4 linked regions of the Drosophila melanogaster genome follow. The protein of the gene in region 1 interacts with the protein of each later gene in a pairwise test. Each region holds a gene or a part of one and is shown on either strand. Other genes may lie near its edges.

The links.
Region 2: the proteins of CG8668 (region 1) and CG1648 interact in a two-hybrid assay, tested with the Drosophila melanogaster proteins (one large-scale study listed by BioGRID).
Region 3: the proteins of CG8668 (region 1) and CG31523 interact in a two-hybrid assay, tested with the Drosophila melanogaster proteins (one large-scale study listed by BioGRID).
Region 4: the proteins of CG8668 (region 1) and Elovl7 interact in a two-hybrid assay, tested with the Drosophila melanogaster proteins (one large-scale study listed by BioGRID).

Annotation. Positions count from the first base shown.
Region 1 is NT_033779.5:8,124,039-8,134,636, forward strand, and holds CG8668 (uncharacterized protein), read left to right. Parts: upstream 1-2,962; 5' UTR 2,963-3,608; exon of another isoform or gene 3,609-3,934; intron 3,935-7,248; 5' UTR 7,249-7,387; coding exon 7,388-7,874; intron 7,875-7,934; coding exon 7,935-8,156; intron 8,157-8,556; coding exon 8,557-9,605; 3' UTR 9,606-9,951; downstream 9,952-10,598. Other genes in the region: CG8673 (uncharacterized protein), read left to right, coding at 354-699, 767-1,683; CG12375 (uncharacterized protein), read right to left, coding at 1,765-2,643; PAPLA1 (phosphatidic acid phospholipase A1), read right to left, coding at 10,585-10,598.
Region 2 is NT_033778.4:9,809,318-9,815,870, reverse strand, and holds CG1648 (uncharacterized protein), read left to right. Parts: upstream 1-3,096; 5' UTR 3,097-3,122; coding exon 3,123-3,147; intron 3,148-3,206; coding exon 3,207-3,389; intron 3,390-3,902; coding exon 3,903-4,393; 3' UTR 4,394-4,552; downstream 4,553-6,553. Other genes in the region: lectin-46Cb, read right to left, coding at 1-166, 219-356.
Region 3 is NT_033777.3:4,474,201-4,482,113, reverse strand, and holds the start of CG31523 (uncharacterized protein), read left to right. Parts: upstream 1-2,906; 5' UTR 2,907-3,052; exon of another isoform or gene 3,053-3,481; intron 3,482-6,687; exon of another isoform or gene 6,688-6,862; intron 6,863-7,913. Other genes in the region: sac (sterile affecting ciliogenesis), read right to left, coding at 1-1,295.
Region 4 is NT_033777.3:7,991,388-7,999,258, reverse strand, and holds the start of Elovl7 (ELOVL fatty acid elongase 7), read left to right. Parts: upstream 1-3,406; 5' UTR 3,407-3,836; coding exon 3,837-3,839; intron 3,840-7,871. UniProt on the Drosophila melanogaster protein: Catalyzes the first and rate-limiting reaction of the four reactions that constitute the long-chain fatty acids elongation cycle.

The sequences.
Region 1 (10,598 bases):
CCATGTTAACTAACATAAGCAGAACCATCATCAACAGTGGCCTGAAAAGCGCCCTTAACAGAGCAGGAGTTTCGGTGAAATTTTGTGGGTCGCCGGAAACGGAAAATAAAGATAATGGCAAGGAAGAAGTATCTTTACCAGGATGAGGCCCTAATCCCAAAAGCCATATACGTTAAATTCCATAAATACAACATCCAAAAAGGATAAGATAAGACTAAAAAATAATCTGTCAAGTATGCTTTTCATGTTTTGCCTATTTAAGCGAACTTTATAAACATGACTTTTGGGTGCTTGGTTCAAATCCACCTTGTAGAGCGGTCACATTCCCGGAAAACTAGAACTAACTTATAGCCATGGCTGGCCGACTGCTGCGCTGCATCCTGATACTAATCCTTGTCAGCTTTACTGTCTTCACGTACGTTTCCAAAGTAGGGGTAATGGAAAAAGTCGACTATTTTACGACAGCGAAACCTGATGTAATGTCAAAAAATCCTGCAATACAGTTAGTGGGCGAAGCGATACGGCTAAGATCCTTTAGGGAGCCTATTAAAGATTTCGACGATGGATTCGCCGTTCAAATTTCAGGAAACAGCAGTGAAGGCAACAAGGATATCTATACAACTATTGATGGCAATATAAATGTTGCAGATTCTATTGCGGCAATTAGAAGCAGAAGAATTGATGAGGAAAAGCTCCATGGTGAGAACTATTTAATTATTCATTAGTCGACTCATATTGATGTTGTTACTTTGCTTTTCTTCAACAGATGACGGGCTAGACTCAAAAGATATTTTAGCAAAGAAATCAGTGGTATTGTATTCAATAGATACCGAAGTTCCTGTCCGAATGCCGCTTGTGAAAACTATCTACAAACCTGGTCACCTGGACAGTGAGATTGATATGGAAAGAATATGTCCGCAAAAAGGGTTATCGACGCAGTTGTTAGTTTTAATAACCTCATCCCTTCGGCATTCGGCAGCCAGAATGTCCATACGGCAGACTTGGATGCACTACGGCAGCAGAAGGGACGTGGGCATGGCATTTGTCCTGGGAAAAGGCAAAAACAAATCGGTGAAGAAGGCCATTGATCAGGAGGATTTTATGTACCAGGATCTGATAAGAGGACACTTCATAGACTCGTACAACAATCTCACTCTGAAGACCATTTCTCTGCTGGAATGGGCTGATCTTCACTGTCCGAAGGCTAAGTACGTTCTCAAGACGGACGATGACATGTTCATCAACGTGCCGAAGTTATTGACCCTCATTAGCACGCTTAAAGCCAATAGAACGATCTACGGACGACGGGCCGAAAATTGGAAACCCATTCGAAACAGGTGGTCTAAATATCACATATCCAACGCTCAGTATGGAAAGCCTACCTTTCCCTACTTCACCACCGGACCCGCCTACTTGCTCACTGGTGACATTGTTCACGCTCTGTATGTCCAATCCCTGAATACTGCATTCTTAAAGCTGGAAGATGTCTTCACCACGGGCATTGTGGCTGAAAGTCTGAACATCCGGCGGGTAAATGTGCGCGAGATGGCTAACACCCGGACGAAATTCGAGACGTGCCACATCCGCGACAAAATTACCATCCATATGGTAAGGAATAACGAGCAGTTTACCTTGTGGAATATGTTATTAGACGACACCATAAAGTGTGATAACCAGGTATAAAGAAAATGAAAATTATTTAACAATTTTTTACAAACAAATAGTTATATACGCTCAACAAAATAAAAAAGGAAAATCAAGAATTTAGAGCGCACTGGTTGGCTGGTACACATAGAACTCTTCATCCGCAGACTTGCTGACCCGCAGCTTTCCCTCCTTCTCCAGCTTGCTTAGGTGGTGGTTCACGTTATAGGCGGCGGCGGGCCAGAGGTTTTCTGGTGTCTCCTTGTAGACCACCTTCACGACGTCCATAGCCTGCAAGTTTTCGTTGGGCCGCTGAACGAAGAACTGCAGGATTTGCTGTTCTCGCTGGTTGCGATGGTTAATGTAGTACTCAATCTTGCCAATTGGTTCCTCAATGACATTGCCATGGCCTGGAAAGATACGCTGCGGCTTGATGTCTAGTATCTTCTCCAGGCTTTTCATGTACTCAAATAGGTCCTCGAAGACGGCGGTGCCCTCGCCAAGGATGCAATCGCCGCTGAAGAGTGTGCCCTCGTTCATGGCCAGCACCACATGATCAGTGGTGTGACCGGGTGTGTGAACCACCCGCACATTCGCCCCCTCCGTGGTGAACTCTTGGTTGTGTGCTAGCGGATGGAGTTTGATATCCGTCGGTATCTCGGGGCACACATCTGGAGCATCTGTACGCCCAAACTTGAATACGCGGCAATCCTTTTCGGCCAATTTAGTACCCACAATGCTCTTTACACCGCCGACATGGTCGTGGTGCCAGTGGGTCAGCAGGATGGTGTCGATGGAGGCCTTTTCCTGCTGTAGCACATCTCCCAGGTGAGCGATGTACTGCGGCACGTCTTCGTCACCAGTGTCGATCAAGATTCTCCTACTGCCACTGCCGAGGAGGTACGTATTGGTGCCCTGGAGCGTCATGGCACTGGGATTACAACCCAGTATCCGAATTACGGAGGAGGTGAGTCTGGTAACAGCCGGAATCAGCGCCATCTCTTCGTTCACTAAATCTGAGAAAGCGATAAGTATTCCGATTACTATGCACAATGAAGTTTGCGTTATAGTTACATAAATTAAGGAGGGAAATGAAACACTTAAGGAAAATAATATTAGGGTCCAATTTTTTCGGGGTTTTAATGAACTTTGGTCCTATCAAGAAAGGCGCTATTATATTGCTGCAAATTAAACAGCTGTTGGTCTACAGTGCTGTTAACCGTCATAGGGTGACCATAACATATGCATTTTAGCACAGTTATCGACTTATCGAAAGTAAAAACATAAATTTTTAACTTATCGATGTTGCTTTACATCACTAATGTTGAGCTAATCGCGAACAAAATCGGTTTGGTTTTCGGAAGTGGGAGTAATGGTGTTCCCACAAAAAAAGAGGAAAAAATTAGAATATTTGCGTCCGCTGTAACGCAGCCAATTGTGCAAAGCCCTAAAAGTGTTAAAAAGCCGCGTTTCATCAGCAGGCTGCAATCGAAAAACCTCCAAAAAAATCGAGGGCAACGCGAAATTAAATCAAAAACTGCTTCGCAGCAACAACAACAAATCGCTTCGTTTGCCAAGGTGTTAATGCTTATTTATTTATAAAACATGCCCCGCATGACTAATGAAACGGGCTGGCGTTATTAAAATCGATTAATGCCGAAATACGCGCAAAACTATAACCAGAAAGAAAAAATTCCCCAAGCCACACGATTTCCGTGGTGGCGCCTGGGGCCCAGCAACAGCAACAACAACACAAATTAGGATAACAGAAGAGTAACCACAACAACAACAACGATAGCAATTCATCATCGCTAATTGTCAACAAAAGGCATATTTATTAACGTTAAATAAGCACTAAAAATAAGCAGGCAAGCAAGTAATTATGCTTGACCCTGGTCCAACAATAGCACCATCTCAGATTCCAGCGAACGAGGAAGGGAGACGCAGCTAAACCGCACTGGGAGGTAAGTTTATAATGAGTGAGTCTGACTGCCCGGAGATTCCAAGATTTCGGATGGACAACGAGACTCGGCGACGCAACGATGACGATGCGTCGTTGCCTAGGGTTTTTGTTTTGTTGTTTTTTTTTTTCTGTTATTTTATTAACACACATTTACGTCTGCTTAAGCAACCGACGAGCGCACATTTCCAAACTCCACGGCCGGACATTGCACCACCAGTTAGCCCAAGTCAAGTGGAGGTTTCATTAACGCCACCTAACCTCCACGTCGATGTGGCGTTCCTCGTATCACTGGCTTGGACTGCAATAATGCTCGATTTCTGAACAAATGTACGCAAGAAATCAAATTATTACCCTCTCATTAGCGTTAATTTCTCGAAGTTCTACAATATTCTGTAGAGTACCAGAAATGCGTTCCCACAACTTTCTTATCAACGAATAGAATACCAAGGCAAGATTTAGAATTTGTAGGCTAAGACGTTTCCGCTTTCTCGTTAGTTCCTTAGTAAGTTTAGCTTCTTGAGAGCACAACAAAAATGAGTTTGAAGAGTCATTTTTATTTCCCTACTTCAATTTGCATTTAAAATGATTTGCGGGAAAGTTAAATGTCAAATGATCTTTGCTTCTACTTGTTTCAATGCAACGCACATCTATGTGATTAAGCTTTTTGTGAACTCGGTGTTTTAAAAACAAATGAAACGGCGCTGTTAACTGCCAACTGGTAGGAATACAGATTTTAGTTGAAATTTATAGGTACTTCGTTGCAATTTCTTTTGAAGACTTTCATTAGCACGATCCGGAGTCCAGCTGAATCTTCCTGGTCGAAACTGTGATTGATAGTGGGCCGTTGGAGATGAAGATAGTTTCAAGACGCCCGAAAACCCGTTTGCCGTCCAACCGGCGATTATCTGCGGTTCATTGTACTTATTAGCAGAGTCGGAGTGGGGCCACGAAAAAAAAAAAAATATAACCGACCGCCAGCCGGATTGGAAGCTTGGATCCACTTCCGTTCACCACTCCCCTCGCGAAGCCTCCAACTTTTTCCGCTGAATCCGAGTTACACTTCATCAAATTACGCGCTCTCGTCAAATTTCACGGCTCTTTGGTAATTTTGCACACAATTACAAGGCACTAAAAGCAACTGCTAAAACATGTGGAACAATTACAGTCAAAGTTCTTTAAATTGAACAATTATATGCCTAGTGAGTTATGGGAACTGGTTAGAAATCCATGGAGAACATTAAATTTATTACTGTTTATAGATTTAATTATGAAGAGAAACCAAAGTTTGGGCTGATAAAAAGTTTATTTTTTTTATATGACTTGCTAGAATAGAACCTTTAGTTCATAGCATATTCAACATGTATGTTTAATGTTTATATCCCGCAAGGGAAATGAAAGTCTGATAAGAAACGGGTCGCGATTATTACAGAAATTCAAAGTAAAATGCACATATACTAAACGATTTATAAACTGTAATTAACCAATGCATAGAGAGTGATTCATCGTCTCATCGCACAAGATAAGTCACACTTTCACTCTTGATGGAAAAACAAAGGGTTATCTCTTATCAATGCGCTGCACGTCACGCTGCGGATCTAAATGGAAATAGAATTTCGCTGTACTATGTGTGCGTCCGTCCGTTCAGCTTCACGATAAGCCATAAAAACACGATACGACATTGTCGGATTTAGCCCCCCAAAAAAAATTCCATTGTGCTCGTACTCGTGGCTATTCTTTCCGGTTCCCGGCAGACAGTTGACCAAACCAGACCACATCGATGAAGTTGATCAGCCCATTTGACTGATAAAATATTTCGCGAAGCTATTTTAATTAAATGTCACTGTGTGGATATCAGTATAGCATTATCGCAATAAAGAAATAATAAATGTTGTGGAACAGTAAATTTGTAGTGATTATAATTAATTGATAAGCTAAAATTCTTAGAAGTTAGCCATTGTCTTATCAGCTTGCGTTTAACTTGCCTGACCAAGTGACCAATAATGAAAATGCTTGTGTTGCATTTAATAAAAGATATAAATTGCATCTTTTTAAAGGTTCTCATTCTATCGAAAGAAAAAGAAGCAGACACAACTTTTAATTCGATTGGGTTTTACCTTGTCGAATTGCGACTTAAGGTGTTCCTTCACCTCTGCAAAGCAGATAAGATAAGTTTCAAAAACTTGTTAAATGGTTTCAAAACGATTTTTAATCATAGGTAAAAGGTAGCAAGTAAGATAAGTGATGTTTTGGCAAAAATGTTTCAATCGTCATTTCCTGACAGTTATTTGATATCTAGGCACGTGTAAACAAATAAAGAAACTATGATAAAATCCGCATTAAACTCAAATCAAGCTCAAAAACATATTTTTGGCTTTAAGAAAATAATTAATTAGCCAACAAACATTCTGTGCAAATAAATAAACATCTTTAGTATGAGGTATTTGAGTAAGATATATGACTTACCATTCTCCGCTAGACAACCAGATAAGATTTGTGTTATAAGATTGATACGAACTGGCTTATCGACAAACAATTAAGGTAGCACAGTTACCCAGAGTGACGCACTTGGGGATTTTCATTGACTATTCAAGACGGTTCGGGGCCAAATCGAAAGTTGGTAAAAGAGTTACGAGGTTCTGAGTCCTGCTGTTTTATTGATTTTTATATCGAGCTGTCGCAAACTACTACCATTATTTTTATGGCGTCCTAGAGAAATGCCCAATAAATCTATAGATATACATATAAAGACTACTGGAATTCTGAGAAAGCCCTGAAATACCCAGATGGGATCGAACGATAAGAAATCTTATCGACCAGGCGGCCATGGAACGCGACTCAAGTGGTTCGTTCGCTGCCACCTGGAGCATGGAGCATGAGTCTGTCCGGTGCTTTGAGCTCTGTTCTGCCTCCGTTGGGGTTCTCTTGAGTCGCGGAATAGGGTCAAGACTGTTGTTGACTTGTTCGAGCGCATGCAAAGTGGAGACAGAGCCGATGGCGATGTCGTGACGATTCTGGATGCTGTGCGTGTGTTCTCCTTTTTCTGGCAAATTCATTAGCCCACGGAAACTTCCCAAATGCTTTTCAGTTCGTCACTCCCATTACCATGCAAAACAGCCAAGCCCTTCGCTCGTGTTTTCCGAAATAAAATAGCACATTCACACAGTTCAAAACTAAGCATCGACTTTACTATATTTTTGAAAAATATTGTGCAAAAAAAAAAATGAAACAAAACGTTAATTACGTTTAAGTGTTCTTTTGTAAACGTTTCTTAAAGTACATAAGACGCTATCTTTATTTTTGTAGTGAACTCCAACTAGCTCACTCTCTACACAAATATTTGCATTATTCCTCGCCAATGGTAAGAAAAGCAACAAAACTGAGTCTTTGGCCATACTCGACTTTGAAATACCATTCTATATTGGATAAGAAAATATTTACGATTTAATTATACACTTAAATGTTTTGAACGAATTTTTATTGCCATTATTATTGTCGTTTTATTATTGCGGAAATAATGATCTAATCGCTGGACAGAAGTGCGCCCTCTCTCCTTCTATATCTTATAGCGCCGGGCATCGGAGCACATAACAAATCAGCTGAATCAGTTATTTACCTTTATTTCCGTTGCGTTCTCATTGCAGTTCCATCGCATTCGTTGTCGGAATCGCAAGCGTGAGGGATCGTTATCATAATACTCACAAATTGAAGACGAGAAGCGGAGTCCAGACTGAAACTGAGACCTAGACTGACTGAGATTTGAGAGATTTTGCAAGTGCCACCATGGCGGCTATGGCCAATCTTCACAACACGCGCATGCTACGCTTCTTTTTAGTCCTAATCGTGGTGATCCTAACCATTTTCATCTACGCCTCGTACTCAACGACTAGCACCCTCACAGCGAACCATGTGCACCCTGCGGCATCACCGCCACAGCAGCTGATTGGCAGTCATCCTGGGCGACAGCCCATGGACCAAGTGCCGCCAGTCAATAGCACGGATAAGGAGTACAATTCGCCACCTGGTGAAAGTTCGTCTAAGCAGCAAAGCGTATCCAGCAGACACTCGCAACAATTACCGCCGCAACAGGCAGAGATACACAAGAGGCATCCGCAGCACCGCCTGCCCACCATCGACGAGGATGCTCTGCTCGACGGTGGCTCCGCGGGCGCCAGTCCCCAGGTTGGTGGCCCTGACCAAACGCCCAATGTTATGGCGGATGAGCTGCTGGAGGAGCAGCAGTATGGTCAGAGTGTTGATGGCATCACAGGTGAGAGTGGGTGCGCTTAAGACTTAGACGCTAATTAAGCTAATAATGTTTATTCCACAGGCAACATCAACAGTAGCACCAACAACAACAGCTCTGCCGACACGTTGGCTGTTAAACAATCGATTCCCGCCCAGTCACCACAACAACAACTGCCCCAGTCACAGTCGCAGGTGCAGCCAGGCCTTTCCGATGCCGACCTCCTCATACCCACTTCCAATTTGCAAAAGTTTATTGAGAACGCCGATAGGATACTGAAGAACATCACTTCGAACAGTAGCACGGGTAATTATTATACTATTACTTAGGGGGCGCTAGACCTTTGAGACCTATTAATCCAGGTTTCAAATTGTTAAACCAGATCGATAAACAGTTTAGTTGCTCCTTCAAATTGATCCTCTTTCTGTTTCATCTTGCGTAATAATTTGCCTTAGTTTTGTTTTGCTTAGACAAAGACCCGCTGGCGGCGCACCCATTTGTATAACTCCACGACAATGGAGAATGAAATGTGCAGTCCGCTTATTTGACCAGGTTTCGTGTTTCATTATGAAAGAGCTGTAAACATGACATATTGTTTCATACTATTGGATTACTGTCGAACAGATGTCTATGGGGACGGACTAGAATTCGCTTGAGTGTTTGTTTGCATTTCAATTAATGGTGTGGTTTATCTTTCTAAATAAAGGCAATCCATCGGATATGGCACAACTCAACGCAGTGGACGGTAAACTGGAAGTCTCGGGCGTTGAGTCCGAAAAGCAGGAACCGGAATCCAAGGTGATACAGGAAATTAAGGAGGCCAAGAAAGAGGCGGCAGTCCCTCTGCCAAAATCCGCAAAACCACCAGTGCCACCTGTGAAAACGACGAAGAGCAAGGTGCCAAGTGCTCCTGTAGATCCCTCCAAGGGAGTGGCCACCGAGACACTCTACGAGCCAGGCCACGTGGATGAGGAGATCGATGCGGAGCGCATATGTCCGAAAGGCGGAGAGTTTATTAAGCTCCTGGTTCTTATTAGCTCAGCGATGTCTCACGATGCAGCCCGCATGTCCATCCGGCAGACTTGGATGCATTACGGGACGAGAAGGGACGTGGGCATGGCATTTGTCCTAGGACGTGGCACCAATGAAACCATAAACAAAGCGCTTACCCAGGAGAACTTCATCTATGGAGATCTGATACGGGGAAACTTCATAGACTCGTACAACAACCTCACGCTCAAGACAATATCGACGCTGGAATGGGCAGATGTGCATTGCCCGAAGGCAAAGTACATTCTCAAGACGGACGACGACATGTTCATCAATGTGCCCAAGCTGCTGACCTTCCTGGACAAGCACAAGGACAAGCGTACCATATACGGTCGTTTGGCCAAGAAGTGGAAACCGATTCGCAATAAGAAATCCAAATACTATGTGTCCGTCGATCAGTTCGCGGCGGGAGTATTCCCGTCCTTCACCACTGGACCCGCCTACGTACTCACCGGAGACATTGTGCACGAACTCTACGTGCGATCTCTGAAGACCGTTTATCTGAAGCTGGAGGACGTGTTCACCACGGGCATAGTAGCCAAGAGCCTTAATGTTAAGCGGGTGCAGGCGAACGAGTTCGTTAACCGACGCATCTCATTTAACCCGTGCAACATCCGCAACGCAATCAGCGTGCACATGATCAAGTCGAACGAACAATTCGATTTGTGGAAAAAGCTGCTGGATCAGACCACCAAGTGTAAATAGTATTTTAAGTTTAGGGTGTAGTTTTTCCGGTATGAAGAACACAGTGTGGTCTTTCGAGAAAAAAGGGGCGAACATATATGTAATATGGTAGGAGTAGAGAATGATTAGCAAAGGCAGCTATATAGGATTATAAAATTAGACTAGTCTCTAAGTCCTAGAAATATCACAAATTCTGTTGTCGATCTCTGCATCCGCCTATATGCATGCGATCCAACAACGATTCGAGTACATTTTAAAACATCTGTAGTTTAATTTTAGCATTCTGAATGCCATTATTTAAATGATAATTACTGAGCGATAACTGTGGTTATATATTAACACTAAATACATTAATGTATATTGAAAGAATCACATAGTGCCTTTTCATTTCGAAGCGCTTCCCAAATAATACCTCTTTCTGGAAGTCTAATGGTTTTGGATATTTGAAGCCTTCGGTATTATTCAAAAAATAAATAATTCTTTTTCATCGTTCCATATTGTTGATTTCTGAATGTTGGTATTTTTCCAGGCCTTAGACCGCAACAAAAAATACCGCAACGGAGCAGTTATCGACTATTCGATAAGCTGAAACAGTAATTCGATTTATGAAAACCCGCCAAACTTGAAAACAATGGTAGTTATTTATTTTAAAATTTGTTAGACATACACTTCGTTTAACATAAATGTTACAAAGTTAGTTGTTACACAGGCGATATTACAAAAATAACAAATAGGTCTCATGGGTGCCAATCCGATCAATACATAGGTAATTTTGTAAAGCTCAAGAACTTGCTACGGTTTTGTCACTCAAACGATAAAGACTTCTTATTTTGATAATACCTTTTACCATGTTGGAGTTGCACATATGGAAAATTCTTTGCATGATTCGGCTAACAAATAACATATCTAAATAAATTGGTACTAAATTTATATATAGTTATGGTGTATACGGTACGTGGGATCGTTGGATCCAACAGAGCTCTCGTGTGGTTTTGTGGACTCACATCGGCAACA
Region 2 (6,553 bases), on another chromosome or scaffold:
GGAAGCGACCCTCGTGGTACAGATCGTTGCCCCCGAACCAGAAATCCTCCGTGTTGCCCAGGCCACTCAGGAACCCAATGGCTCCGTCGAAGTCCCTTTGGTTACTCAAGTCCGCCAGGGTCAGTCCTTTGCGTAGGCAGTTGTTCAGGGCGCCAAACCAGTTCATCTGAATGGGTTTCATATTATTTCATAAGCCCATGCGACAGATCAACTCTTACCTTTTTCACCGAAAAGTAGTAGCACTTGCCGTTGATCCTGCGCAAATAGCGACGCGGGCAGGGGGGTCCTGATCCCAGGAGCTCGCCCCGCGGCAGGATGCTCAGCAGGGCCACGAGTGCAGTCAGGAGATGCTTCATTTCGCTCGCTTCCGCCGGTGCACAGTGAGCCGGCTCAAATCGCCTCCTGTACTTATATCCTCCGCTGGCCAGCAGTGCGCCCAATCGATTTGGAGCTCGCTGGAGCTGGAGCGGCATCTTCGGCAGCATGGCCAATTCAATTACAAGTCCATGCCGCCGGAATGCCTACGCCAATGTCGTGGGCTAATTTGCTCACCCGCCAGTGGGTCAGGTTTAGGGTCATTCAGTTTAATTGGCTATTAGATACACTCGAAGAAAACGAGCCGGAAAAGTCGCATGGGGTGCTGTAATTGCCAGTAATGTTAACCCTCTAAATTCCTTGATGGCAATTCATCCGCCTAATAATGGGCATATTGCGAGTAACTATTATATCATATATAGATGTTATAAAATTGTAATACAAGTTTAATGCAAATAAATTAAAAGATTATATATATGGTTTTGAAATAAGCAATAATTCTTAGCAGTATTCTAACTCATTCGAAGGTAGCAGAGCTTTCTTCTTCTGGAGTATGATGATGATAGATGGATATAAAATGCTTCAGTTCCTTTGACCCTGATCTGTCCTCCCATTTAGTTTGTATCTGCCGAAGTGAGTTAATTGCTGGCTATGAACTCGCTGGTAATCTTCAACAGCTCAAAAACGCTAAGAATATTAAGTTCTGTGATTCGAGCAACTGGAGTGACTTCATAGTCATTAGCATAACCCGCCCGAAGGGCTAGATGTCTGACCCGGCCTTGTTCTTTCCGATTATTGATTTACCTGGCAGGGTCGTGACATCAGCCATTGGATTGTCCGTGGCCAGGACACGAATCGCCCGCCTTTCCTTCTGTTGCCAGCTGACTCAGACGACCTTCGGTCGGATGACGATTGCGCCGGGTGGCCACAACAATTCGTGGGGCGTGTGAGTACCACGCCACCCCTTTCTGCCACGCGCGCTACTCTCACATATATAATTCTTTCGTATATTGTATCTCGATTGTGCAGTTGTATCTCACATGACATCATCAGCAATGGCAACAACAACGGCGGCCCCAGTAGCTCCATCGATTCATCACGGATTGTAGCTCTTTTTTTTAAGGCATCCAGAACTGGTGTGGAACGTGAGTCGGCAGACCTCAAATCGCAGTAACTCATAGATATTCGTTCCATGCCCGTATGTGTGTCCGTTCCGAGCTGGGTTCCCATGTAGCCCAAGCTACAGCTACAGCTACAGGTTTTCCTCTATCCGAGGCTTCTGCGCATTATTTCAGCTGCGAGTGCGACATCGACGAAAACAAAATCAGAGAGCAAAATCAAAATCCAAAACTAAAACCAAACCAAAACCAAAACAAAAACGACGCCAGAGGCTGTGAGAGAATCTGGGCTTATTGTGTTACCTTTTGGCCATGCTTCTAGCCGGTTTTCAGTGTTGACCACAAGTTGCCACAGTTTTGAATAAAGACTGAAGAACAAAATGCGTCGTATTACGCAAATGCCTTAAATAGGGCCGCTGGCCTTAGGAATTCCGCGTGTGTAAGCCATTAAGATATATATGTACATATATCCAAAGGATTTGGCGGGGAATATTAAACACTGCGGTTGCCTTATACGTAAGGCCACCTTTTTTAAGTTTAATAACTTATCATTCTACGAATGTATTTTAAGTATCTTTAAATACGATTTTAATTTGGAAAACAGCACAATATACTTAGCATGCATCTCTATACATATAGTTACATATTGTACAGTGTAGATTGCACGATTCCTTCCACTTAAATTGCTATTCTAGATTCTAGATTGTTAAGCAAGTCCAATGCCACATACATACATTCCTTAGCCATTAGCCATTAGCATTTGAAATGTCTGAATTCCCTTTGATTCACCCTGTTTTTTTTGAGCAGTAAAAGTAATTTTCAACACCTCGGCCGAGCCCACACATTCCATAATCTCGATACCCAGCAAGCGTAGAATAGAAACTATTATTTTCGCACAATTTTCGGCTCCTGCGGTGGCGATTGGCTCATTAAATGCGAAATGCGAAATGCGAAATTGGCCGAAACTAAATTATTTGGAAATGAGCCGAGTGTATGGGGCCATTAAAGTATCTCTGCGGAGAGAACCGAATCAGAATAAACACATTCCCGATCACAATCAGAAAGCGTGAATAGACCGCACTAGAAACTTGGGGGCGATTTCATTCGCCGGCTGCCCATTATGACATCACATACGCCGAATAATTTGAATACTCGAGCTTTGTTTGCCTCATTCGCATACAAGCATACTGTATATTACAAAGAAATTCCTCGGCTATTTCCGCCCGTTTCCGTTTCGCCCAACCGATTCGCACCCGGTTCCGAGTTGAGCGGCACAATGTTTCTATTTGAGTGGACGCACACGTCACTCCCAGTGAATGCAGATTCGAGGGGACAGCAAAAGCTGGCGCTCGTTAATTTCTATTAAATTGCGAATATAAGTCTCAAGTCTCGAATTTTAAGGCTGACGCCATGGGGCTGGCGATCACGATTTCAACAGCCCCTAGTTGCGCAGTTTCTATTAATAGGAAAGTGTCCCAGTCTAATCGATCCGATTTAGTCATGTAAATAGTTCATGCTCCAGCTGCTTTGTTTATGTTTCGGCAATTACCTGTCTGGAATTTGGAATCTGAAATCTCAAATCTCGCATCTTCGATCTGATCGGCGCTCCACCCTGCTGATTGCAATCAGGCTATAAATTATAATTAGCGCCAGGCCAGAGCTTAGTTAGCATTCAGAGGGCCAGTCAGCATGTTTCCTAGTCGCCAAAACCAAAGTAATCCCATCCAGCCAGCACAGTCAGGATCTAAAATGCACTCCTCATTCAATCCCCAGCTTCCTTGAAGAACTTCGGTGACAAGACCGCCAACCTCTTCAGCAAGAAGAAGGATGAGGCCGAGAAGCTGGCCAACGAGAAGGCTGCCGAGGCCCAGAAGCTAGCCGAGGAGCAGGCCAAGAAGGTGGGCCAGTCCGTACAGCAGACCAAGGGCGAGGCCGAGCAGTTGGCCGCCAGCACGGGTGAGTAACGAACATCCAAAAAATAATGAATGTAACACATAAAAGATGTCTTAGAGAATTAATTGGAGTTATTAATTCTAAAGACTTCCAAAAACTCTTGCAACGAAGAATTGAATGAGTCCCGTTTGAGATAACTTTCAAAATCAACTTTCAGTTCTTGCTAAAAATGTTTTCTCATTAGCATTCCATTTCCAATTTATCTAAAACGCAAATCTTTTAAGCATATCAAACACAAGAGAACTTAATAAATGGAATTCTTTAGTGACGCGTTGACGTAAAACATGTTTCCAAGAATAAGATTCGCATTTTTGAAAACATTTCTTCATAAATATTGAAATATTTCTATAATTGTGAAAAGCAATTTAATGTGCTAGAGATTTATAACTAAACAGAACATCAATGCTATGTTTTATGCTGGAGCAAAGCCCGACCAATTCAATAAATATCTTTAGGAGCACTTTTAAAGATATTTTGTAAGAATTTTTCCCACTAATATCTCTCTTTATCATACAGCCAAGGAAGCCGCTGCTCTGGCCACCGCGGAGGCTCAGAAGGCTGGACAGGCGATTGACCAGGGTGTGAACCGTGCCGCCGGAGCCGTCAACCAAGGCAAGCAGGCGGTGGACAACACGGTGGCCCAGGCGGCGGCCGTGGCCCAGAACTCCAAGCAGGTGGCGGCCAATGTGGCGGAGGCCTCCCAGCGAGCGGCCGCCAATGCGGTGGACCAGACCAAGAAGGCGGCCAACGACGCCATCAACAAGAGCGTGAAGGCCGCCGAGAACGTGGCGGACCAGAAGCTGAAGCAGGCGGAGGGCGCCATCGATGGGGCACTGAAGCAGACCAGTCAAACGGTGGACCAGAAGCTGCAGGAGGCCAACCAGTATGTCGACCAGAAGCGCCAGTCCGTCGAGAAGACCGTCCAGGATGCGGCCGGACAGGCCCAGGAGTCTGCCGGACAGCAGGCCAACGCCCTGTTGGGCAAGCTGCATCTGGGTCAGAAGTAGAGGCGTCTCCCTTCGCGGTGCCACCTAAAATATCTTGATGTGAAAATGCTTTAGATACAAAAACAAAAAAAATAGAAAGGAATTTGCTTCAATGTAACGAGTGCCAGTAATGTGATTGCTAAATCCTCAATTGAATATACACAATATATATATATATATATATTTACATATTTTTTGAATATCGCGCGGACGGATTATTTTGCAGCCGCTGCTTTCGATGTGAGCATTTCAGCACATCCTCTGTCCGTATCCGTACAAAGTGTAATTAACCCCTTCGTTCTTCTTCTTCGGCCGAATTTTGTTACTTTGAGGCATTTGATATTTTATATACAGCTGCGCTGAGTATGCTTTTAATATACGTATATTCTGTTTATGTAGAGATGTATGATTAAGTACCTTTAACTCTTGCACAACACATTGCAAATGTGTTTTTAATATATTGGATTCGAATGAGATTTGTGGTCTTTCAATTGGTGGGGGTGCCACTAAGCAAAGCGTATTATATGTATATATTTGGATATACTGATGTTATGTTGATTATATTATTACTGAAACTTTTATTAACTCATTTTCAATTTAGCGCCAAATGGTGATGTATGGTAATACTGTAATCTGGCCACACTGAATTTACTTCGGCTGCAAGCGCAAATAGCGCCACCTACATGTGGGATAGAACGCTGAATGGTTTGAAAACAGGGTATCCATGTTTTATCTCGCTTTTACCGTTTCATTCAAAAAAATTAAATTACTTTTTAATGAAGTTTTCAAACTACAAGTTTACTTGATGTATTTATTTGGGCTTACTATTTAATTACTGACTTATCTTGGCCATTGGTTGTTCAGAAAATAATATTATTTCTGGACATATTTTGAGCATATAATTACAGCTATATACAATTTCTTTAATAAAACCAATAAATCAGTTATAAATTCTACACATTCCACTGTTCACCCAAAAGTGGTAACATTTTATTTTGCTTCTAAGACAAAAGAAGTTTTTTCCGGCTTACCCTTTCCCCTTCCTCCAGAGCTGCCTGTCTCATTACAGAACCTTTTCACAGATCCAAGGTGAGCAGCAGGGGAAACTTTCGCAGAAAAGCGGACCATGGAGATGGACGGATCTATACAAATAGACCGAAACATGCAGAAATCTGCTAATAGAAGAGGTCATATTGTGTACTCCGATATGTCGGGCAACTTTTCGTCGAACAGAAGCCGAAAGTTGTGTTAGGTTTTAATTATGGGAAAAGTTTGTTGTGGCTAACAAGTGACCCCGGTGCATTGCAACGTCAATTGAACGCACAACTTCAAAGGACCAAAGGACGAAAGGACCAAAGGACGAAAGGACGCTAGGAATGTGTGCAAAGTATTGGCAGCAAAGTGCTGACATAAATTCAGGTAAGAGCGATTTTTAATTTCAGATAAGTGCGCCTGCTGACTGGAAAGGCGAATGATAAATGCATTCCATTTGCGATTCAAGTACTAGTGGGTGCGAGGCGCCAAATTCAAATTTATGCCGGCCACGCAAAAGTCGCGCCAATTAGGTTAGCCCAAGCGAGTTGATTTAAAGTTAAGCGATACGAGCGGCGCGATTAATTACAATAACTGTTTATCAACACATATTAATCATGGTTTAACATGCTCCCAGCTCGTGTTGACCCAAGCAAAATGGCGTGCAGCGGAGTTCCGGTCATGTTGGGTATGCCCACTCCATACCCTCCATGGGCTTCCTTTAATTTTCAAAGTTTAGAGGGCGACATAAAGTGAATATATTTGGTGAGCGTAATATCGTTTTTAATATATTATGACCTTATTTGTTGGTATTGCCATGCGTTTTTGAAACACTCACGTCTCTCCCAGCAGCTTGATGCCCTTTTGATTGACCCTTTGGTAATTCATGAGTGCTCAAACAGATGCTTATCCGCTTTTTAAGCCGTGACCAATTCCACTTATGAGCATATTTTACACGCAGCCAGCGGCGTTAATTTTATCTGAAAAGTTAAATGTGCGCGTGTGTGGGCAATTAGGCGAGGAGTATTATCGGCCCTGAAACTAAAACTGCGCGAGAGGAGAAGTTCCCAGCGACAGCCACTGATTGTTGCTGCCGGGGAAGTCCCTATCCCTCCATTTGCGCACTTACACTTACATATGTATGTATGC
Region 3 (7,913 bases), on another chromosome or scaffold:
TGCAGGAAGTCCACTAGCGCCAGGGGCTTGCTAAAGCTGCAGATGAAGATCGAAAGTGTTTCGATGTACTGGCACTCGATGGCCACTCCGGCCATGGCCTCGATGCCACCGACGCAATAAAACAGACTGGCCTTCAGGTAGTCGTACCGCTTCTCCTGCATGGTTATGCCAAGGGCCTGCAGTTCAAGACGCTCCTTCCCGGAGACGTCCACGGCGAAAGACCGGGGCAGAAATTCCTTGAGGTTGATGTTCCGAAACTGGGGAAATTCCTTGGGCATCTTAAGGATAAACTGCTCCAGCTCGTATAGGGCCATTAGGCGCTCGAACACCAAGTTCACCTCGGAGCGTAGTCGTCTTTTGCACTGCTCAGACACCTTAGCCGCCTGCAGGACCGATTCGATGGGCTTAAAGCTATAAAACACGGTGGACTCAATGTCCTCGTGCAGGACACAATCCACGATCAGCTCCATCAACATAAGCTGCTCCCCCTTGTGCCGCTCGTGAACAGCGGCCTGCAGCCGCTTGATGTACTTGTGCGGGTCCTCAGCCATGAACATGAACTGAAGCTTGGGTACCGTGTAGGTGCATCCGTCCTCCAGCGATAGAAGCGTCCAGAGGTCGGAGTCCTCGTGGTGCGCGGTAACAGCTGCCATGCCCCACTGGCAGTTCAGCAGGCTTTGGTTGTAAGGCAGGTACGCCTTCGCCGGAAGCGGGTAGTGCGCATCTCCGACAACTCCCAGCTCAAACCAGGCCGCCGGAGAGTTGATGTCAAAGTTGCTGTCGTCGAAGTAGCTCAGGGGAAACTTGTGTGGGAAGGCGAACTCGGACATTACATTATACTGCTCCTCGGTGGGCTGCAGCACGTCGTCAGTGAGGCCCGCCTTGGCCAGCTCATTCACCAAGTTAATCTTCTGGTACTGACGACGCCTCCGATCCACTTCGACGTCCTTTGGAAGATGCCGCTTTGGCACGTAGCGGGTCTGGATCACTTTCGGCAGGATCGTGGGCAGCGGAAAACGGTGTGCCTTGCCCATCTTGTCCATCAGAGTGAGCCATCGTTGGGCCTCCTGAATGGGGTAATATACATCAGTAAGCTGATTCCGCGGAATATATAGCTCCTGATAGTTCATCATAGTCGTTCCCGGTCGGGGCGGCATGATGCAAATAGCTTTCTCAGCCTCACGCTTGAATTGACTGTCATCCGGGCCCTTGTTGCTAATTGAGCTGGTGCTGCTCTCATCGAATTCCTGGGAACCTTCATAATTTTGTCCCACCTCTAAGTTCTCCGGATCCATATGAAATATATTGTTAAAGTGGATTTAAATGAGAAAGTGGCGTTCCTTTCAAAGCAGTGTATTTGTTGATTGTTACAAAGCCCGAGCATTAATTACTGCTGTTTAGTCAAATTAAACCAAAAAATTCGATTTTATAAAATTAATGTGAATATGGCGGTCTCAGCAATATTTAATATTTTTATTAAATTATATGTAAACTATTTTATTTCCAAAAGGATACATTGACTTCAGTAAGGTGTTTGCATCGCAGTGAATGAGGCATTTGCGACCATATAAAGCTCACTTTATACTTTCTTGATCAGTATGAACAACCGAGTCGAAATAGCCATATGAACAATCGAATGTAAAATTTGGTCGTTTAATTTGGTATACATTTTTTACTACATTTTTTTAATTTTGAACAATCTTTAATTTCAATTTCAAGCTTCCGTTGTTGTTTATTCATTTTTTATTATTTAGCGCACTTTTATGAGAATTATTTTTTTTGCCGTAAAAGGTTTTACTAAATTCGATAAAGGTAAAAAGAAGCATTTCCGACTCTATAAAATATAATATTCTTGAACAGGCCAACAAGCCGCCCCAAACTACGACGCTAACACGCAAGACTTCACGAGACTTTCACTGTCACAATTACAAAGTAATTTGATTGTAATGCGAATTTCTATAGATATACCATTTTGCAACATCTCGCTCGCAGTAATGCGAATTTCTATAGATATACCATTTTGCAACATCTCGCTCGCAAAGTCGAGGAACCCTCTGACTTTTGTCTGTTTTTCGTCCCTTATAACACCAACAAACCGCCCAAAACTCCCACGCTTTTGAAAAATTTTTTAAATAGTTTATTTTGTTTTTTAAATTTCCTTCGATCTGCTAAAAGAATGTTGGAATTTCTCATTCGCACTTAGTATACGACTTGAGTAACAGGACTTTTAAAGTAGGGGAACTCGATCTTGTTTTGATTACAAGAAATATTAAAAAACATTTAACATTCTACATTCTCTAAATATCGTTTTTATGATGACAATGCTAAATAATGGGTTCCGATAATATCGATAAGTACCGAATTCTCGAAATTCGGTCACTCTTTCCGGAACGGAATCCACAAAGATCATTTTGCCTCGTCTCAGTTCAGCCTTTTTAGATTTTCCATAGCCAGATCTAGATTATCTAGAAACGGAACAGCCAGAACTAGATTATGTCTAGCTCAAATTATTTGGTAAAGAAATCAAATAAATCAAATAGTTAATTTAGTGTAGAATTAAACATGCCAAAAATTACAATCCTGCCACAGAAACCTTTATTTAAAGTTAACTACAAGTTCAAAGAATATTAACGGCCTGTGAAAAGTATTCCCCTCGCAGTCAATTTATGCTTTTGCATTTCATTTGGCTGAGGGTATACGGGTATAGTCGCGACGATCCATATTATTTTTCTGTTTCCTTGGTACCTTCTATGCAGGTTATCAAATCACAAAGATTTTACGCACAATATTATTTAATCTGTAATCCCTATCACAGTCCTTGCGGGCTTCAAATAACCTAAGTCGAGCTTTAAAAATGCTAAAACGGCAACACTCGTGCCAACATTCTGCTTAGTTGCTGCCAACCCAATCTAACATGTTCGAAGTTGCGAGACCGTTTTGTACAAAAATATATTTAAGCGACTGGCAAAACGCGCTCTCTTTGTTGCTGAACGATTTCACTCGCGTCGTCGTTTCCCAAGAAATCCGAAAGATATGGCTAGTTGACTAAGAAGTAATTCGATATTAATATATTTTTTTGGAAGCGCATATAGTTTTATTGGGCTAGATCGCATTTTCTGCATGGTGAAGTCCGTTACGATATGTTGTCGGATATATTTTATGTGCGGTGAGATCCAACGCGGTGTTTGTGTGTGTCTTTTGTTGGCGTTGCTGTTGTTTGTAGCCATCGCCATAGCCATCGGCATCGCAGCCCGCGGTATCGAAGTTTCAGTATCAAAAGCATCGGCAGCCAGCCCAAGCTGAAACTAGTCGATTGTTCAATTCCCAAAAGCGCGGGCCCTTTACACTTGCGTTCGTTCTCCTTCGCGAGTGTGTATTTGTGGCCGTGCACAAGTGCATTTGTGTGTGTGCACTCGGGATTCCTCTTCCATTCCAATCGCCGCTCGACCCCCCCCCCCCCCTTCCACACCATACCTCGCAGGTGAGTATCGCCACAGCCGCGAAAGCATTTTCCAGCTGCTCCCCACCCTCGCCTTGCGATTCGGTGATATTAGTCATCACCGCCATTGCCTGTTTGTTCATGGTTTAATTAAAAAAGTGGCGGTAGTCCACTGTTTCTTGCTCTGCTTCCCGCCACGCCCATTCGCAGCGGCAGCGTCAGTAGGCGATGCCGAAGAGAGTCGCCGTGAAGCAACAGCCAACTAAAAGAGCAAAAGAGCTCACACGTGTCGGTGGCTAAGAGAGAGCGCACAGGGGCGTGGGTGCCCTTCGTGAGAGGGATGAATTATTATTCCAAAGGATTGCCCAGACTTGTTTTCATAGATTCTCTGGTAACCTATTCGTACTTTAATGAATTAAATATTGTTTATTGGATTAATCTGGTTCTATGAAGTGTAAAAAACAATTGACCCTTTCGGTCTACAACTGTAATTCATGAATCACTTATTCAATACAATTTTATATTAAGTAAATTTTGTTGATAACAATGGAAATTATATTGTTGACCATTGTTTCCCAATCGAGATAAAAAAATTCATTATTTGAGGAATGCGGGTATTAGCAGTAGGTACTTCTATGCTACTTCGAATACATAGAATATTTCTTCTTTTTAGTGGTACAACTTCTTCCGTATGAGAAGTATTTTAGCAGCAGCTTAGGTATAGCAGCTAATTCCTTATCCTGAGAACTGACTTTAAATAGTATTAAATAGCCGAACGCATTTCGCTGTCTTCATTGTCTACTGTGTACCTTTGTTGGGTAAGGAGTGCAGTGGTGTGCCGCCTATGTCAGTCAATCAAAAAGTTTCACCTGTCCGCCGAATGCGGAAACGTCGAGAAATGTAGTTGCATTCGCATTTTTTCAGGTTTTTAGGGTCAGCCAACGAGTGCGCTAAATACTTCGATCAGAAATTTATGTATGTGTGTATGTGTGTATGTATGTATGTATGTATGCATATGTATGTATCACCTGGAGAATGTGGTGCGGCATCAATTACCGCTGGCCGGTGGTCAGAAAAGCGAACCTGGAGCTACGTAGAGTCAAGGGCTTTCGCAAATAGATTGCAACAATGCAGTGCTAAAGTGCTAATTGATCGCTTTGCACCTTGGCCCTCGCGTATAGTTATTTGGCTGGCGCGACTGGCTTAGACTCAGTAAACACATTATCTGCTTAGATTGCTCAGAAAACACATCAAATCCAAATATTCATTCGCGTTTACACGGCAAATCTCAAGATTGTGTCTCATTGCCGGGCTTCGATTTTCTCAGAAGAGAGGAGCTATACAATCGGCTGGCTGTATCAGTCACACCCACAAGCAATCTGAAATTATTCGGGCCAACATAAAAATTCGGCCAAAGTCCATGAGATCTTGGTTATAGAGATCGCATGTATTAGTCCTCTGGTTTATATGTACATAGGTGCTCGCTAATATGTGTTTTGGCAGCGCATGCTTAATAAGCACTTTTGGGCTCTGCTATTATGAGGAAAGTTTTTTAACCGGTTTGTCCTATGGAGAAAGAAAAGAACAATGACATCGTACGGGTTCTCTGGCCCCTGAGACTCTCGTCTGAGACTGAGATGCTTGGCCACGATCTTCGTACCATTCGGGGTTAACACATCGTGGGCATAATCATTCGATGGACAGTGACAGCATCGTCAGAGTCAAGAGAACTAGCCTCACCACCTGTTGCGGTGCTATAAAGACAAATGTGCCGTTATCGGCGGTGAGATGGACAGATCCAATTCATGATGGTAATGCGAATCCAGCTATCGTTCGGTTAGGAGGCAAGTCTATGATAAAAGTTTATTAAATGCTTTTGGCATACTTAGGCTCCAGAGCCCTTAAGTAACAAAAGATTTGATATAGCGGTCGATATAACCTATATCTTGAAATATATAATGATCATAATACGCCAATATAAGGATTATAATTCCAAAGGGAAAAGTTGACTAGCGACTGTGATGTCTGGCAATGCAGCCAGTATTTAATTTTAAAAGTATTATTTTTACAGTTATTAGTTTATACAGCCTTTGCCTAATAATGATATCTTATGAATTATATTTAAATACCAAATGAGAACTGTATGGTCGAGTTCCTTGCCTGTTAGTCAGCTAGTAGATGTTTAAGCGAGAATCTTTAATATTATTTTGGCATATCGATAGAAGTGTTACATACATACTTCCCAACGAATCTACTAGGCTATACTTTACGAGTAATGGTGCTCTAAGAATTTACCTCAAAATGGTAAATCGCCTTTATCCTGCATGGTTAAACAAAATATTGTAGAAGAGATGCAATGCATACGAATTTTCGAAATAAAAGAGCACTTTGATATCTTTTGGTAAATGTAACTATATATGTTATTTAAAAAGAAGTAAAAAGCTATAAGTACCATGTACTCACCTTTCCAGCAAATAACATCATTAATATTACAATATTACCGATAGATACCCATTGACCGTCTGCAAGGGTACACAAACTTCGGCTAGTCGAAGCCGGCTTTCTTTCCCGTTTCTTTTTTCGACATTGACGGGACCTACTCGTATACATTTCGCACATTAATTTCATTTACCCAAAGATTCGGACAGTTTTTCTCTGTCGCTTGCTGTTGTCTCTCTCTCATTTTCCCCAGCCTTTCTTTGTGCGTTTTTTGTTTTTTGTTTTTTCTTTCATTGTTTTTGTCGGGTTTTACGTATTTTTGGAAAACTTACCACGCCAGTGTTATGTAAGTCGACCCCTCGATCTCAGCGGCTTCTCCTCAATTTAGAATGCCCGAGGCAGAGTCGCAATAAAACAATAAACAAAACCTCCATTCCTGACACCCGTAACCTATGCTTTGGGAACTATGCATGTGCATAATTACACATCGATGTATTTAAATGCCATTAATGCAGTGCGGCCCTGCGATGGAAACTTTCATCGTGTGTTTCAGCAGCTCGGTCGGTTTTCCGTGGGGTCTGACCTTCCCGAGCAGCCAAACAAATTACAAGTGCACACACATTAATCGGCCAGCCGACCTGAGGTCGTCAGGTGGGAGCGGTCCGCGCGATTCACTTGCGCTTTCGTTTCAATATATCCGACCACGCTTCTGGCGATCCAAGCCAGTGATCGAGGGCCGCCGCCTTTATTTGCTTGCGAGGAGATCGGAATCCCAAGTGTCTTGTGTGGCCTGACTCGATATTTTCAAGACGAGCACTCACACAATTCAAAAAGCATCGCCGCGATTTTCGAAATTTCGTCATTTAAATAAATTAATATTTATTTTTTAACAACGAGGACGGAAGATAATAACACCTTCGCAAATACAATATTACGATATACAAAACAAACAGAAAACAAAACAACAAAACCCAGGTATCTAAGGTATCTAAGAAAATACTTATAAAATTCGCAAAACGAAACAGATATCGCAATCTATCTCCGCACAATATCACAATATGGAAGGACTTTAACCCCCAATTAATTAATGCCGATAGCACTGTTTCTGGCTCCAGCCAACCGCTTATAAGGCAGCTAACTTATAGTTACGATTTTCTTCATTTCTCCCTTTAACCCCATATTTTTGATTAGGTTTTATATATAGCTGGTAAATTTAACGAGAACAGAAAAAAATAATAAGGGAGCTAATCGCCTATCAGATAGAAATAAGCAAGACAAATGATAATATAAAACGATTTCAAATACATTCACAAAATTCTTGATGATTCAGTTTTGAAAAGTTTTTGGCATACCGAAGAAATCCCTTCGACGTTCTAAATATATAAATACAAATATAGTCCACCCTTAACCTACGAAAAATTGCTAAACGAATGTTACGCAGAAAGTAATTGTCAAAAAAAAAAGATTTTTCATTTGACAATGAAAGTATATTATACAAAATTTACCCTTTCTAAAGATTATTTGTTTAATTAAATAATGTCGACTGGTAAAATCTTCACAGAAGAATCAGATTTTATGTTCAGCGTGTGAACGTCAGCAGTTATTTTATTTGTATATATTTTATATATTTAATTATTTTTAAAAAATACAATACCTTTTGTAGAGCATCAGTACACTTCAATTTTGAAACCATATGCGCTACAGTAGAAAAATTTGCAACGAGTCAATGCGTGTCTTAAAGAAGTATAAAAAATGTATTGTTGATTAAAAATCTTTTGACCAAAACTATTGAAAAAATAGAATTTCGAAATGCTATATGTGAAGGATATTTATCTATCTAGTTCCTTTGAAATTTTTAATTTTTACTAAGTGGAATGACTAAAGTTTCTACATGAAACTGCTTGCTCAGCACATAAAAATACGTTTTGTTTCGGAGAGGCAAAAATGTAGTAAAAAAAATGTAGTACAACTTTCCAAATATTATTGTGGGAAGTATTGCCCTCCCCAGCTTATTAATCAGTTCAAATTAATTAAA
Region 4 (7,871 bases), on another chromosome or scaffold:
CCCCCGTGCTGGAAGGCTATTGAATTGCCCGACTTGGAACGCACAGATCCATCAATTAATGTTAGTTAGCTGATTCGTTTGGTTTCTGTGTCAACTAGCTGACCTTGATATATTTTCACGATGGCCGATCAATGTTCAAACACGAACGCCTTGCGCAATTTCTAATGTCTCTCTTGTTTTTATATGCGTACTAAACCCCATCTCCATCTGCACCTTCATCGCCATCTCCAGCTTGTCGTCTTCGTCAGACTCGCCATCGTCGTCAGCAGTTTGCGACTTCTCTGGATTTGTGGAATTTTGGGCGATCGAGCTAGTCGCTGATCGATGTGATCGGAACTTGCTCGGAAAGCAGTCGACAAATTTGAGTGGCTCTGAATGGGAAGCCGTGTTAGTTCAGACTTTATTGTTTTAAATCTTTTTTATACGTGTATGTATTAGATATTGGGAGATCTTGAAGGGGATTTAGTTATAATCACGGGTTCTCTGGGGGCGGGTTGAAAGGAGAATGACTCGTGCATTGGTTTGTTATTCTTGCCTGTCTTTGGTATTTCACACTTTCGATTGCATTGCCTCAGACCTCAAATTCCACGATAATGTACGGGCGAGAATGATTTGCAGAATCGAAAAATGCCACTTGACTTAACCGTTATTTAATAATCAGAAAAGCACCAGCAGAAATAACAATTCCGCCATACACTGAAGTATAAACTAGTATATTTGGAATATAAGTCTATTTCATTAACTTATAAAGATTGAATGGAGTTATTTTTCACATAGAAATTTGTTAAATATACGAATAGGATATAGAACCGTATGGAACTGTATTTTCGGTACCATTTTGTAGATTCTAACCTTTTAATTTTCGAACCGTGTTTAGGTTTTGCAATCCAACGTGTCGGCTGCTTTTGTGGTTTCGAGGGCTTTTGAGACTCCGGCATCGCGAAATCAACGCATCAATCATCTTCGGTTGCACAACTGCAGGGAGGTGCAGTCCAACCAATTGCAGCTTTTCCCAGATGATAATACCAGTTGCCTTCTACCAATATGCTCATTAGCACCAGTCCGATGTAAATTCTACTGCCTTGCTATATAATCGCTAGGGTGATTTTACGAGATTTGCAACCTTGAACTCTGGTTTTTTATTATTGCCAAGTGCGGATAAGGCCAATAATACTAACGAGAGTCCAAAAATAAACAAGCGCCACAAAGAGCTGGATCCGAGTCACAAAAACTCTCCTAAGCTTGGCCCAATAAACAATGGCTTTGGCCGGCGATCGACACCCACCACACCACCACCAAAATTGGTCGTGGTTCATCTGCGTGGCATCATTACGATCGTCATCTGGCGCGGCTCGTCCGATTGAGACTTGAATTGAAGTCGATATTTCTGGGCCGAAGGTTGCGCTATTAAGTATACGCCGCATGTGCTCGCCAAAAACCAAAAGCCAGACTAACGATGAGAAGCATCTCGGAAAAAAGTCATTGTACTCCGCCAGGGAATGAGCTCTGAATAACCTGATGGTTCCGGTCATTAGGTCCCCGTTTATTGCGGTTGGATCGATGGTCGGCAAAGGTGGATAAACGGAGTATATCAAATCGATCGGAAGTCGCGGCCAAGTTCCTTCAACTTTGCGATTATGCAATCGCATTGAGAAATTAACACACTGAACTCAAATGGTGAACTGGTGCACTTTCGTTAATGAATTTAATTAGATTATGAATATTTTTCAGATTGCTTTAACATTTCGATTTGTATGTAAATTTTCTGCAAATGCTCAAGGTTGAATCTCTGGGTATAAAGTGCTTATTTATTTTGATTTTTTGTTCACATAAATTTTACAACTAGGCGTGGCTTGCCGGCACCTAAAACTTGTGTTACAATATATTGTCGTGCGCGGCATTAGTTAAAGGACTAGTGAAGTGCATTCTAACTGGGAAAAACATATCCATGTCTGGTGAGTACAGTCGCAGTCTAAATTCTGATGATCAAATGGAAAATTTCAGAGCAAGCGGAAATATTACCTGCCATCTCTGTCCATATAAGGAGGATCATTCTGATCTAGCATGGTCAATTCATCGTGAGCTTTTCCTCTAGTCATACAGCCACTAGAAAGCCCTTGAATCGATCGTATTCATACTTCCCCCAATATGGCAGACGCGTGTTTCGGATCTGTGAGATGGGATCAGCTTAGGGCGACATGTCTATACATATTCATCGTCTCCCCCGCCGACTGTTTGCACATGTAAATTTGGCGCGGCTAGATTACATGGTCAGTTACGTGTTATTCGGTTAGAATTCCGCAAAAAGATCTTGTGCTCGGCGGCCATGCAGCGGACTTTGAGACGAAAAATGCAAATGTTTGCTTTGTTGCATTGCTTGGGTTTTTTGTCGAAAAACGCATCAAAAGTGCAGGGTAATGGTGAGATTTTTAGCAGGTAAATTAGAATAAAGGTAGTTGAAGGGTCGTTAATTGAGGGTAAGTAAATCGTCAACCAAGCCGCTGTCAAAGTTCGATCTAATTGCTTAGCTCACAAAAATCGACTACGTAACGTTTCAAGCTTGCACAAATAACAAGTAAGCGTCGGGTCCTCCGAAATATTAAGTATCCGCCAGGTTGCCTGCAACATCCAGGTCTCGGTAGCCGCTTTTCCCATTCGGGAATTTGTATGTTTCAGAAGTTCACGGCGCATTTTGGCCATTTATTGGCCATCACGAAGGCAAACGGAGGAAAGCCAAGTATTGGTCATTATAAATATTTAAGAGCCCAAGAGGCAAACTGGTTTGGTCAGCCCCATCTTCTTCTGCTTTTTACCGCATACGTATCCAAAGATTGGGCTTTGTTGCTGGCAACCTTTCCGCCGCTCTCCCTCGCCGTGATTTGATTTGATTTGATTTGATTTGTGGCTACGTTAATTTTTGCACACTTTTCCGATATGAAGGGCCGGGCCTGGGCAGGGGTTAATTAACGGACATTCTTGCCGAACTTTGAACTGTGCAATCATGCGCGCTGCCAAGACGCGGCAAAAGTACCGCTCCGATATTTGGATTGGCGGCAATTAGCGCCGCACTTGGGTGTGGGTGCAAAGGCGGGTGATACCCCCACTGGTGGATACCAAGAATTCGATTCCAAAGGGCCGCTGGCCGATCTCGCTCTCGCTCTGGCATCCTGACGCCCGACCCGATCGCTTCGGCTGTCAGAGCGAGAGCACACATCGACAACCTGTTGCTCAGAACCTGTGGCTAGCGACCGAAGCTTTCGACTTCGGCTCACCTCAACGCCAGCGCCATCGCCACGCTCGCCGAAAATGAGCGGTCGGCGGCGCCGACGATCTGCGTCGACGTCTGCGCCAAGTCCGCTCCTACGACTGCGAGGCGGTATAAAAGTAAAGCGGCAGCGTGAAATCAAACTTATTTCAGTGTTTTTGATTTGAATGTAAAAAGCGCACGCTCGCCCAGTCGCTGTCCAGTTGTTGTCCAGTAAAGTCCAGCGGAGCAGCAGCAGCGGCAGATCGGTCGCATCAGCAGTAGCATCAGCAGCAGTTCCCCGCAACAGTGATGTAGAAACCATAAAACCGTATAACGATGGTCAAACAGTGTGTGCGTGTGTAAAACAATAACTAAAAACCTACAAGCAAGAAAAACGAAAAAAAAAAACGAAACGAAACGAACAAGGATAGTGCGCTAAAAAGTGATAATTCGTATACCAAAGTCGAGAGAATCTCTGTAAATTAGTCAAAAAAAAAAAAAAGAAAAAATAAATAAATACAGTACGCTTCCTTGTAACAAACGGAATATAAACGCGCATTTAGTACCTGTTGAAGCGAATTTTAGCACAATGGTAAGTAGCGGGGGTTCCCGACCGAACACCCAGTGTGACTCAACGGAAAATTGATGCCACTGAAACCTCCTTTATTAAAATGCCTTTGCAACCAGTAATTTCGATGCCGACCCCCAACATGCAAGCCTGAATAAATAAATATACATGATCGTACGTTGACTTGGGCTTTCCGTTAAATCCCACAACCCACAAATGACCCTTTGCACACGACTCGTGTGTGCTGCTGCTGCTATTAAGCAAGAAATTAATAATAAAAAAAAAAATAAATAAAGCTCCTATAATGAATATCCGCAATGCAGCCGTTAAAATTAATTGAGCAAATTATTAATCGAGAAAACCTCTCGAGCACCAGCCATTCCTGGTTCTTATTCGTTTTCTTTGGAAATGGAAAAAAACCGCACGCCAGCAACTGGTTTTCGTTTTCAAGTACACATTCGCTAGCAAGGTTTTCCACTGTTTTTTCCCAAATGCATTTTTGCCGACTCCGCGCAGACCTTTCCACGCTTTTCGCCCACTTTTCCCCCGCTTTCTGCCACAAAACATGAGCGTTTTGCTCTGTTCTGTTTTGCTAGAGCCATTCGCTTTCGAGCTCCGCCAAAAGTGCATACAGAAACTGCAAGTGCTGCACTTATTTCGAAGCTGTCGCTGTGTTATGTCCGCAGTTGCAGCAGCAGCACTTACACCAGCAACATCACTGGCTGGCGGTCAAGTGAAGTGAAGGCTGGCTTTTGGCTTTGACCAGCTCACTAGCCCACCAGCTCACCAGCTCACCAGCTCACCAGCTCACCAGCTCACTGGCATGACAACATTTCACACGGAAATGCAGTGCATCGCTGACCTTGAATCTCGGCCGGGGATATGGGATAACTGGCGATCGGAGCGCAGGTGAAATGATAGCCAGTCAGGGCCAGGCCGACTCATTTGTCCCGTCCACCTTACTTATGCTTTCGGCCCATCATTGCAGATGCTGCTGCTGTGTAGAAATCCAGTGATTTTCATATTCATTCAGCAGCTCTGCAAATTCGAGAGAAAAAACCCCAGTGGGTTAACCAATCGCCGCCGCTACTACCGCTGGCTAATGATCACTGGCATTGCACCATTTCACAAAAAAAAAAAAAAAAGAAAAAAAAAAATAAGCAGGCAACCCAGAAATCGAAACTTATTCAAATCTTCGAGTTGTTTTCTTCTCCTTTTGGCCTCTTACACAATGATTATTACACCTCGATTTTATTTTCGACTGGGACTTTTGCCGCATTTTTGTGTTGCCTCTTTTGACACTGAAAAGTGCAAAGGCGCTGGCGGCGAATTTTACTAGTTGCCAGTTGGCTATGGGCGGCTATGGGCTATCGGGTCTGGGTTGTTTGAGGCTGCTTGTTGGAGCCAGAGCCACTGCCACCCAGCTGCCAAACTGCGCAGCCCCCGCCAAGTGATCATAATAAAAAAAAATGTGCCTTAATCAGCCGATTTGCTTGCATTCCCTGTGGGCCAGTTAGCTACATTGGAGAGCCAGTCTCAGACGCATTGACGTCGCTTTATTGTTGACTGCCGCTCGGCACTCAGCTGTTTTTTGGTAAGAGAATCATGTAGAGAGCATATAGTAAACACAAAACCATAGGCAGAGTGCCCTCTTAGTACTTAGTGTGTGTGTGTGTGTGTGTGTGTGTGTGTGTGAGATAACGCTTGCCGCATGTGACTGAAATCGCAGTGCATTCGCTGCTCCATTTCGATTTGTTTGGCTCCACACGGCGTATGCGCGATTTTCTCAGTAGCTAGCTAGTCTTCGTTCACTTCAATTGCGAATATGCCATTTGGGCAAAGGTTTATTGTTCTACATAAAAAAAGTGCGTGTCTCTCAGCAATTTTTTTACTGGCTGTGTATATTCCCGAGCAAATTAACACTTAAAAACTGATAACGCAAGCGAAGAGAGGAATTCGAGGTAGATAAACGTAAAGAGACCATTAAACGGAGAGTACCTGAAAATGATTACATTTATGGACTCTTATCGGCCCGTGATTGAAGTAAGTGTCATTTGAAATTCAATTATTGCTCGTTGGAGATTAGACAGAAAAGTTATGCCAGTAAAGGTGTTAAAAACACTAAAAATAACAGCTTTTAAATTATTATTCAAACACGCTGGCTTGCATATTTTACAGCTCTTTGAGTGCCTTTTTTTTTTTGCAATTTTATACAAACTCTTCGTTCCCGAAAAAACAATTAATTTATACATATTTGTCGCTTTAAACTGGGTCGGTTGGATGAATTTATTTGTATAAATTAAATTATTTAGTGGGCCATGCTGTCATACCGAATTCGTGATTAAACATATTTCCATTAGTGCGAATTTAGATGGGACTTAGGTGCTAAAGTTGTTCGATTTTGTTTTTAAGTATTTTAAAAATGTTTAATAATATTTTCTAAATAATTTCCTTGTCGTACAACAATAAATTACAAATAAATTCCATTTTAAAGCAACGAACGCATTTGCAGTAATATATTTTCGACACATTTAATCCGAACACAAAATAATTAAATCAACATCAACATTGTGGGGCTAAAGCAAAATTTAAATTAGTGGACAGAAACAACCTGATAAATACGCGAATGTAAAGTGATTGAGGAGCTAAAAGTCATTGCTTGTTTAATTGTGTGGCTAGTGATTTACGGGCTTGGGGGCAGAGAACTTTAGGCTGGGAAATGGCAGCAGGGACGAAAACCAAAGTTCGACATTCCCAATTCGAATTGCATATTATGCCTGAATGCCTGAATCCAAATGGTATGGAACCATTTTTAATGCAATCGTCTAACATAAACGTTCACGAAAAAATCAACATTGGCGGCCTGACAAACGCAATGTAGAATGAATCAGCTAAAATATATCCCCCGAATTGAGGCTTTCAAATGGTATTTGGGGAACTCACTTACACTTACGCACATTTAGCCAACCTGTTGAGTATTTGCAGCTGTGCACTTGACTACTGGCTGAGTTTTTAGTTGCTGCAAAAACTGCTTTGCACTGAAAGAAATTGGTAATCATATAATCTTATTAACCAAAAAATAAAAATGCTCAAAGGTTTCGAATTTTCCAAAACCTATTGAAACTTCTTCATATTACCATATTTCTGACTGACCTAAATAGTTAGTGAATAATGTGGAAAATTAAATCTATTCAATACTTTATTTGCATAATCAAATCATTCAGATGACGAAACACGCCCAAATAAAATGTATATTAGTTAATTAATATTGATACATAATCAGTTAACTTGACTGTTGACCAGATTGATCTTCATTCATTGTAATATTTTAAATATTAAACAAATTGTGTTTTATTTAAAATGTATGCATTCATAAAGAGTTATCTTGATTGTTTTTTGTGTGAATTTCAACAACTTGCAACTTGAAACGCTGCTGCGTTCAGTGAGCGTAGTAAACCGCCCCCGAGAGCAACAACACCACTTCCTTGCGGCAGCACAGCCGTAGCAGCAGCAGCAGCAGCAATACAACAACATACACTCGAAAAAAATTGTCTTGCACTAATTACTGGCGATTTGGGGCCAACGACAAGCGCGCGGCTGGGCAGCAAGAACCACATACAACTCGATTGCCAAATTAACGCGATTTAGCTGCTTTTAAAAGTTGCCGGAGTCAAGACTTCTCTGGCGAAACACACACAAATGCGGATGCATATAGGCCCCGCATACATCTTATTGTTGCGGTGTGGCAAGTGCATTTGGTGCACATGTTGCTGGCGCGTTTTTTTCCGAACTCGGTTAGGAAATCGCCTGCGATTTCAATCGCGTGCAAGTCGCGCGCAGTCTGGTATTCGCTTGAAAGTTTAAAAACGCACGCTGCATTTTCAACTTGACCCACAACAGCCGGGAATCGATCAGCGGGCTGTAATCGGTGCTTTATTGTCTTATTATTAATACTTTATTTTTTTCTGGTGTTTTTTTTTTTAGCGGCTTTCCATTTACCGAAGATTTGTTTACGCATTTAACCAATCGCGGCATGTTGCATCATCGCTTGTCATA